Linked DNA regions of Schizosaccharomyces pombe. The protein of the gene in region 2 binds, or shares a complex with, the protein of the main gene of each other region. Each region holds a gene or a part of one and is shown on either strand. Other genes may lie near its edges. The genes, in order: naa25 and naa20.

What was found.
Region 1: naa20 (region 2) and naa25 share a complex: the UniProt entries of both Schizosaccharomyces pombe proteins name them as parts of the N-terminal acetyltransferase B (NatB) complex.

The regions. Positions count from the first base shown.
Region 1 is NC_003423.3:1,505,639-1,511,468, forward strand, and holds naa25 (NatB N-acetyltransferase complex regulatory subunit Naa25), read right to left. Parts: upstream 3,806-5,830; 5' UTR 3,746-3,805; coding exon 3,713-3,745; exon of another isoform or gene 3,669-3,712; coding exon 3,530-3,668; exon of another isoform or gene 3,287-3,529; coding exon 3,168-3,286; exon of another isoform or gene 3,129-3,167; coding exon 2,692-3,128; exon of another isoform or gene 2,652-2,691; coding exon 2,390-2,651; exon of another isoform or gene 2,351-2,389; coding exon 1,232-2,350; exon of another isoform or gene 1,161-1,231; coding exon 942-1,160; exon of another isoform or gene 882-941; coding exon 774-881; 3' UTR 747-773; downstream 1-746. Other genes in the region: cytochrome c oxidase assembly protein Shy1, read left to right, coding at 1-39, 123-735; UBA/EH/EF hand domain protein Ucp8, read left to right, coding at 4,943-5,092, 5,243-5,366, 5,412-5,830. UniProt on the Schizosaccharomyces pombe protein: Non-catalytic subunit of the NatB N-terminal acetyltransferase, which catalyzes acetylation of the amino-terminal methionine residues of all proteins beginning with Met-Asp or Met-Glu and of some proteins beginning with Met-Asn or Met-Met.
Region 2 is NC_003421.2:687,605-690,952, reverse strand, and holds naa20 (NatB N-acetyltransferase complex catalytic subunit Naa20), read right to left. Parts: upstream 1,426-3,348; 5' UTR 1,386-1,425; coding exon 1,308-1,385; intron 1,251-1,307; coding exon 786-1,250; 3' UTR 526-785; downstream 1-525. Other genes in the region: cyclin-dependent protein kinase Pho85/PhoA-like Pef1, read right to left, coding at 2,282-3,120, 3,172-3,199. UniProt on the Schizosaccharomyces pombe protein: Catalytic subunit of the NatB N-terminal acetyltransferase, which catalyzes acetylation of the amino-terminal methionine residues of all proteins beginning with Met-Asp or Met-Glu and of some proteins beginning with Met-Asn, Met-Gln or Met-Met.

The DNA.
Region 1 (5,830 bases), on a different chromosome or scaffold from region 2:
GCTTCAACAGCCCGCAATTTTATTACCGAAAACTGTTACGTACGTTAAGTTAACATATACACAAATTGCACGTTTTGCAATTGAACTGTCGTTTTTTACATTAAGCTAACATAATCACTTAGAGAGCAAGATACAAAAAAACTTGAGTGGACTAGGGTTTTGCTTCGTGGTGTGTTTTGTCACGACCAAGAAATGTTGGTCGGTCCAAGAACGAAGGAAGGCCAACCTGGCTATCACGTAGTAACCCCATTTATTTTAGACGATGGGCGTCGAATTTTAGTCAACAGAGGATGGATTGCTCGATCATTTGCTGAACAGTCTTCTCGAGATCCTAGTTCTTTACCTAAAGGTCCAGTGGTCATTGAAGGTCTTTTGAGACAACATACTGATAAGCCAAGATTTATGATGAAGAATGAGCCTGAAAAAAATTCTTTTTACTTCTTAAATGTTCGTGAGTTTGCACAATTGAAAGGAACTCTCCCCATTTTGATAACAGAACTACAACCATCGCTTACACCGTTGCAAGAAGCCGATCATGTTAAGAGAGGCTTGCCTCTTGGTCATCCTCTAAAAGTTGAAATTTTCAACAGTCATACAGAATATATTATCACTTGGTATTCTCTAAGTGTGGTATCAGCTATAATGCTTTACGTCTATTTTAAGAGAGGTTCAGGCACATCTTCTCTGAATTCTGCATACGAAAGAAGCAAGATTCTAAACAACAAACGATTATAAAAAATTTTCATATTTATAAGTTTCTAAATATTATCTACCTAAAATTTTACAAATTTTGGAAGCTTGCTTACTGCGTCCGTCGTTTGAATGTATGAATCGATCATTCCTTCACCAACTTGTTTTGCAAACTTCGGATCGTAAGGAACCTATTATTAGGAAGTTAGTTCTCATGCCTATAATTTTAATGCTCTATAATCATCACGTACCTGAGTTTCAGATAAATTGCTCAGCCAAGAGTTTGACAACAATTCTGATACATATTTTCTGGCGGCCTTCTTTTTATGCTTCGTAATTCCAGAGATACTTCCTAATTTGTTACTGCTGATGTTTTTAAGAAGTTGGTATTGTCTGGTAAATTCTTTTTTCTTGGTAGCTGACACGTGATATAGGAAGCTGTTTAGACAAGTGATAAGGTCATTTATGATCTATAATTCGGTTAGTTTAGAAATTTTTATATCATTTTTTTTAAAAAAAAAAACCAGTTTGGTAAACTTACTTCAGTGTACTTTGTCAATTGACTTAAAGGCGTGGAGTTCTCATAATCGAATGACTCAATTAAATTTTCAATCGTTTCGAACGAGGAATTTTCGTAGTCTCCGTTCTTGACCTTTACCGAAAGTAATCCCAGTTGGATCAATAATTTCATATGAACAATTTCTTCCGAAGTTAATTGCTTCGATAAATCATTGTTTTCGCACAAAACTTCCATTTCCTTAGCACTTAAAACGGCCTTTTCAAAATCGCCGTTTACTATGCTGTCTTGAACGAGAGAATGACCAATGACAGTCAAATGGATCCAAAGCGTGTCCGGTTTAGGCGAATTTCTTAAACTTTCTTCAACTGTTGGCAATTTATCAGATCCATAATCTGCAAAGACCTTTAAATCTCGATTATCTTTCGGAGATGAACATTTGGGAAGATACTGTTTGGGTGGTTTAAAAGCGGTAAGATAATGTATCCTAGCCCGCTCGACCAAAGAAATGCTTTTCCAGGTACTGTGGTCTAAACGGGATCGGAAATTACGCATATCTTCGATTTGAGAGTAAGCACCATCTTCATAAGCCATAGAAATCATCTCTGGTGTTTCAAACTCATTCGAACCATATATTTTGAGACTTGAGTTAATATAGTGAGAAGTAACAGAAGATGGATAATAGGTAGTAGCACGAGTCAAGAGATAATGATCAAGGGTATCGTTTTGAATTTGCTTAATGGACATAGTGTCGTAAACTTTAGCAGCAGCAGGGAAGCCTCCATCAAGAAGAAGATATAAACGAATAAGGGGTAGCTTTAAATGAAAGTTATGTTGACTATAAGTAATGCCTTTTTCTAAAAGACAGATTGCGTCAAAAATTAAAGCTTGTTTTTCGGCAGGTTTTAAATCCTTATTCCCCTCCCACATATATATCAATGAATGAACTGCTAATAACAAAGCTTCATAACCGTGCGTAAAGTCAGTGGGTAATAAGCCTTTACTTAAAGACAAACCCTTTTCAAATGCGACGAAGCATCTACGCACGTAATCGACAACCGATTCTGCAGTAAACGACTCAAAGAGCAAAAAATGGATCTTCAGAAGCAAAACCTCAGCATATAATTTATCGACTTTTTGAGACTACGACGAGTTAATATTGAAAGATGAATAAATACTTACTTCATTGGATTCACCTAGATCAGCCAACTTAAATGCATCTAATAACCGGTGTTGTGCATCAACATTCAGCTTCAATAGATAAGGTCTCAAATCTTCAAAAACAATTGGTTTCATATACAGCTTTTTGATATAGCCAAGTAATGCTGATTCGTGTTCTTCAGGAAAAAACCGTGCGCTGGCTTCAATCCAAAGTAAATGAAGATTTCTTTTTGTGCTGCTGGTTGACAACGCTTTCAATATACAATCCTTTAATGGGACTAATCTATGGAGAAGTTAGTAATAATGCAAAAAAAAAAACTTACTTTGAATCATCATTGGAAGCACTATCCAGCAAAGCTTTGCAAACCTTCCAATCAGTATTCCCAGTTTGGAAAAGAGAAAGCGAAAACGTGAATAAAGAATCCCAACGCGCACAGGAAGCAAGCAATTCAAGCTTCCTCAAAAGAAGGTCGGCGTCAGCATCAACAAAGCGATCAGCATCTTGATGTATTAAAGCATCTAACGCTCTGTCCTTGTCTCCCACTAAAAGCAACACGTCTAAATAAAGATGAAACTCCTCACAAGAATCGATATAACCTGTTGGTTTTTCGAAAATGAGTTTAGCAGTTTTTTCAGCTAGTGCTTTCAGCAAACGTTGTTCAACCTCATTTTCCGACTTTTTGGACAAAAGATACAAAGATGAGATAACCCATAAGGTATGTTTCCTAGAAGGAAAGTTCTTTTGCAATTCTACAGCAGCCTGAGGAGTTAGTAAAAAAAAAACAAATTAAGATCTTACCTTTCTTTGGTGAGACAATGATTTGATGCGAATAGATGCTTTGAAGTAAGCTAATAAGTTTTTTTCCTGCTTTCCATAAGTTTGCAAGAACTTTTCCCAAAATACAAACGATTCTTCTCCTTCAAATAGTTAATAACTTAAAAGTAAGAGGGTAAAAACAAGTCCATTGAGAAATAAAACGTTGCACTTGAATCATCAAGCTACGAAAAGAACAAAGATCGTTTTTCTTAAGCAAAGTTTAACCGATCAAATAACTAAAGCCTTTATCTCAAGGAAATAGTAGAATATTCAAAATAAAAAATACGACCAAAGTGCTATCAACATTTATGTTCATCTGTTCAATAGAACCTAATTATACTTACCCTTCTTTTGATCATCATAAACAGCTTGTATAATGTCTAAAAGTTCCAAGCTGTTGATGGGAGTCGATTTTAACGGTTCTAAAAGTGCTAGAGCCTCGGGACCACGTCCTGCCTGAGCCAAGGATAACGCTGAATAAACCTAAAAAGGATGTTAACAGCTAAAAACATAACTCGATTACTTACAATTGTTGATTCTTTACTCCCAGAACGACGCATTGTAGTAGGCAATGAAATTAAAGCCCAAACAGTAGTCAGAAGTTGGTAGGTGTTGCAGTCAAATTATTATTCTACAGAGGAGAATATTATAGCCAGCGTGGTAGAATCTGGATATATATCTACTGCAAAAGTGTAATTGCATTGGTTTAAAGGGTATACTATGGTTAAGTAATATATTCACAGCTGTACAATTTACAGTCATAACTAAAACTTCCTTAAGCCGTAAAGAAATACCTGGTGTTGTAAAATTTGTTGTATATCCACGGCATGGTCATATAATGTGATTTTGTGCTCAAATAAATATAAAATATGCATAATTTTTGTACATTTAATTTGAGAAACCCATCTTTTGTTGAGAGGCTGTCAATGAATAGCAGTTTCATTGAAAAGCAGCGGGATGACCAGAAAAGTATTTTACAATGGCAAGGGAGTAGAAAGCTAGCGTAATATTCAGAAAGCTAGGTAATTGAGCAATCCTTTAATTCATTGCTAAGCATGCTAGGTAAACGCAGTAAACCTTTCAGTTTTCATTTAGGTATAAGGCTGTTTAATGAGTATCTCCACTAAATTTAAAGATCAAAACTCAGTATCAATTCTTAAAAGTTTTATTTTATTTAATAATCATATACTTCTCATAATCTTTCAATTTTTTCCCCATTTTGATGATATTTTTATTAATCCTACAGTAAGCTCTATGATATCGTTATTCTTCAAATAGGCTGGTCAGCACGTGGACGGTGTTACTTATCGTTAAATAAATCGTACTAAGGAGGTGCGATGTAAATGATATGCTTGTCAAGTATTAACTGCTCTCCACCAACCGCCGGTTTAACTGATTATTGTTGAAAAGCGCAGACGAAGTTTAGAGAATTACTAGCGTATTTTAAATTTAATCAACGGACTATTTTTTATTCCTTTGAGATCCGACTTTATCGCTTTGCTTCTAATTTTCCAAAATTCAGTCTATCTACGCGATCCAGCCCTGTTTGCGTAAATTTCATATTATTTTTCTTTAAACGTTTGGCTTTAAAGAGGCGCTTTTTTTTTGTTATTTTCTCTGTATAAAAGGTTACATTCGCCGATAGGTTTAATTTCATGACTTGTATTTGTTTTAAATCAGAAACGTTTTATTGAGTTAGAGTTCACAATTGTTAACATCTAACTATCCGCAATTATTTTTTTATTCATAAATAGGATATGCAGCCTTTGCAGTTATCCCCTATAGAACAGCAGGAGTTTGACCGATTGCTTGAGTCTCTCCACCCAGAACAGAAAGATTTAATCCCAGGAAGTGTTATTGGACCTTTTCTTTTGAAGTTTGGTCTTCCTCAAAAGATATTAGCAAAGGTATGTTTAATTCATTCCTCAATCAAAAGCTTTGGGATAGCAGTTTTTATCTCTTAAAGTTTAGAGTTTAAATCTAAGAGTGGAATGTTATAAATTAAAGCGTTGCACTTTCTAAAAGAAAAAATATATATCTAACTGCCAATTTATTAGATATGGGATTATTGTGATCAAGAGGATAAGGGATCACTTGATCGTAATCAGGTTTATGCTTGTTTTCGATTAATTTCTCAGGCTCAACGTGGAGCAACTTTGCAAGAGCTAGATTATAATAAAGGTATGAAAATGCGTTAATAGTTAGCTATATTCTAACATTAATCAGCCGGAGATCCTCCAATTTTACCAAAACAAGCTAAAGACGACCATCATATTAAGCGTTCATCTTCAGAAACGGCTGATTTTACCCCTTTCCGTATCCCCATTAACCCGGACGAGCGTTCCGAATATGAAAAGGAGTTTCGTGAAAATCTTCGAGGACATGAAGATTCAGCAAGGCCAGGCTGTATGCCAAGTTCAATTGCAAAACCTATTCTTTTAAAATCTTCACTTCATTACGCCGTACTCGCTCAAATATGGAATCTTGCTGATTCTGCCCATGTTGGGTACCTTGAAATGTATCAATACGTTATTGCAAGACATTTAGTTGCAATATGTAAACAATACAACTTGATTCATCTTCCACGCTCTTTGCCCGCTGATGTTATTGAATCCGCAAAAAGTGAAACCCCAGCAATGAATACA
Region 2 (3,348 bases):
CTGTTAGATACATTCAATTCTCTGGTCAATTTTCAATCAACCGATATAGTAGAAGGTTGAAATAAAAGGCCTCTTCTCTTTTCGTTGAACTGGCGTCTTTTTAATCTTCGAATATTTTCTTATTTCTTTATTTAACTTTTGATATTGTAAGCTCATGATGTAAATTTTTTTTCAGATAGTTTTACTTTTAAAAAAATAATTCACGTTAAAAGTTATTGCTGGCAATTACTTACTACTTGTTTAAAAAAAATATTTCTGTGGTGAATTGTTTTTGCAAAGTTGTTAAGTCAGATGATCGTGTAGCTACGATTTTTGGTAAAGATATGTTTTACATGTATTTACATAGTTTTGTCTTTCATTTTGCAAGTATAGAGGACTGAATGGAAGTGGGTAGTATAGTCATTCATTGATTTATTGCTAACATAAATAGAAGTTATTTAGTTTGCCATTTCACATTAGAGAAATAAAGTAACTAGTAGACGATTTGCTATTTATCTAAAGGAAACTGAACGCAAATTTCAACCATTGTGTAGTGATACATTATTTTATTGATAAATTATCAAAATGTTCCAAAGAGTTGCATAATCATTAATCAAAAACTTCAAATACTTACAATATCAATATGTAAGCAAGGAAAAGGACCGAGGTCTTAAAGCATAGCAAATATTAGTCGTTTCTGAACTTTGATTTTCATTAATATGATGTACATACTATACCATTTACCTAATATAAAAAAAAATCTTCTTCCTTTGCACTAGTTAATAGATTTGTAAAAAGAGAGTGAACTAAAATGAAACATCAGCTGGGCTGCATTTGAAATTTTCCCCATTCTCTCGAATGCTTTCTCTATTAACATCTCGCGAAAGTGGTTTCCGCATATCAAATGAATCCTCATCCTTTCCATGTGGATTACTATAGTACCCAATAACTCGTCTATAAACCGAATACCCCAATCCTTTGTAAAAGTCAATTGCAAGTGCATTGCTGGCACGCACAAACAGGTCAACAAAAAAAGCGTTTTCAGAATTTCCTACAGTTTCTAAGTAGTCCATCATCGTTCTAGCAAGGCCTAAACGACGGGAATTTGGCGCTACTGTAATGGCGGTAACATGAGTATGCCACTCTTTACCGGTTCCTTCTGATTTCCCCATAATATAACCCATAAGGGTTGGATCAGATAGGTCAGACTCTTGTACAACACACAAGCTAGGCCATTTGTTCAAATAACTGAGATAAAATGAAATATTGAACTAAAAGTTGTTCGAGTTAATGAAAGTCCGCTTTAAGTACGGTAGATGGTAACTTACGGTCTCCGTTAGAGGATCTAAATTTATATTGTTAAATGAAAATAAATCAGTAGCTTTGAATTTTCGCGTATCAGTCATTTTTTCATGTAATGTAAATTCTAGCAGTATGGGTAAAACTAAAAGATTTGGCGAGGTAGAAGATGTCGTAAAAATACGATAAGCCAAATCCGTATATCTCCTTAAACAATAGATTGCTGGGCCAAGCGAGTAGAAAAACTCAAAAGAAATTGTAAAAGACACAATTATTATTTCATGTTTACAAATTGAACCTTCTTCCTAAACGAAACTCAAAGAAATTTAGTCACCTCCTACCATTGATGCCTCAAAACTGAAAAGATGGAGTATAGATGAAAGTAAATAAAAAGAATAATGAACGACAGAAACCACATAAAATGTCGAATGGTTAAAGAGAACATTAATAGAGAATCCCTTCATGCAGTTAAATAATAGGGAAGGAAGCCATTAATCCACTAATAAAAATAAGTGAAAAAAGATTGTTTTTCATGTGCATTGCGGATAATTGCTTGAAATCCGCAAATTATTATCAGTATACTAAAAACCCGCATTGCTTTTTGAATATTATCCTTTTGCTCCTTCATAAAAATGTCAGACGCAATGCGGATCATTCAATTCTTTAAGTATTTCATTTACGACTTGAATGTCATCAGCGACGATATTTTAATCGTAGAAAATAAAACGCCGTTTAATTCTTGGCTAAAAATATATTCGACAGCTTCAAATCCTCTCAAAATAATAACCAAATATTTACCTCTAAACCTCGTTTAAAAAAGATCAATAGGGATAGCTACTTGGGCTAAAACAGTTGCGAAGAAATTTGAACGTCCAAAAATATTGTGCTCTTTCCCTAGGTGAAATGCATTCTTTCCAAAAAAAAAATTAATGATTTCAATAGGAAACTGAAATGAATAAATAAAATCGTAATTTGGTTAAACTTTTTGATGTTAATTTACAGCCTATGCGGTTAAAAACCAAGCATGTTGAAGCGCATCCTGGCCGGTCGTCCTTAATTCAGGTTGTAGACGAAGCATCCGTCGTAACAAATCCAAACCAAGAGGATCAAATGTTGGAAATAGGTAGGCGAGATCTTGTGCTTTATAAATAGGGAAAGTAGGCTTATATTCAGGAAGTAAAGAAATTCCGGGCCATGATTGTTCAGTAGGAGTTCCCAATAATCGGAAGATTTTTAGTAGCTGATCCTCATTATTTGACCCAGCAAATAGAGGACGTCCTGTAGCCATTTCTGCCATGATACAACCAACTGACCAAATATCAATGGAAGTTGAATATACTCGAGAACCCAAAAGAACGTCAGGAGCACGATACCATAAGGTGACCACTTCGTTTGAAAAAGTATTCACTGGAATTCCAATTGAACGGGCTAACCCAAAATCCGCCAATTTCAATTCACCACGACTGTTGATAAGCAAATTTTGAGGTTTCAGATCACGATGTAGAACTCGGTTTTCGTGACAAAAAGATATCCCTTTGAGTAATTGTTGAGTAAAATTTTTTACTTGAGAAGGTGGAAGAGCTCCTTGGTTCCCATAAGTGTCCATGTACTTTTTCAAATCTTTTTCCATATATTCAAAAACGAGCATAAGCTTATTTTCGGTTTGCAAAACGTCTGAGAGAGACATAATATTGGGATGCCTAAGCTCCTTCATAAGACTAATCTCACGGATAGCAGTACTAGGTGTTCCTTCATCTGCATCAATACGAATAACTTTGAGAGCGACAATTTCACCAGTCACTCGATTTTGCCCCTTATAAACATGCGCATATGTTCCCTCTCCTACTTAAGTTAATGAAATTGCAAATTTTGGGACCTCAAACTCATACTTACCTAACTTTTCAAGCCTTTGGTAGTTCATGTTGTGCGATGGAAATATCAAGTGCCTCCTCTACGATGACTAACGACTTAAGGTGATGTTAAGCTAACAAAACTGTTTTTAAGACCTACAGTTTTGAAGAATATGCTAAGAAAAAAAATTTTTAGTCTATTGAGTCATGTCGAACATCT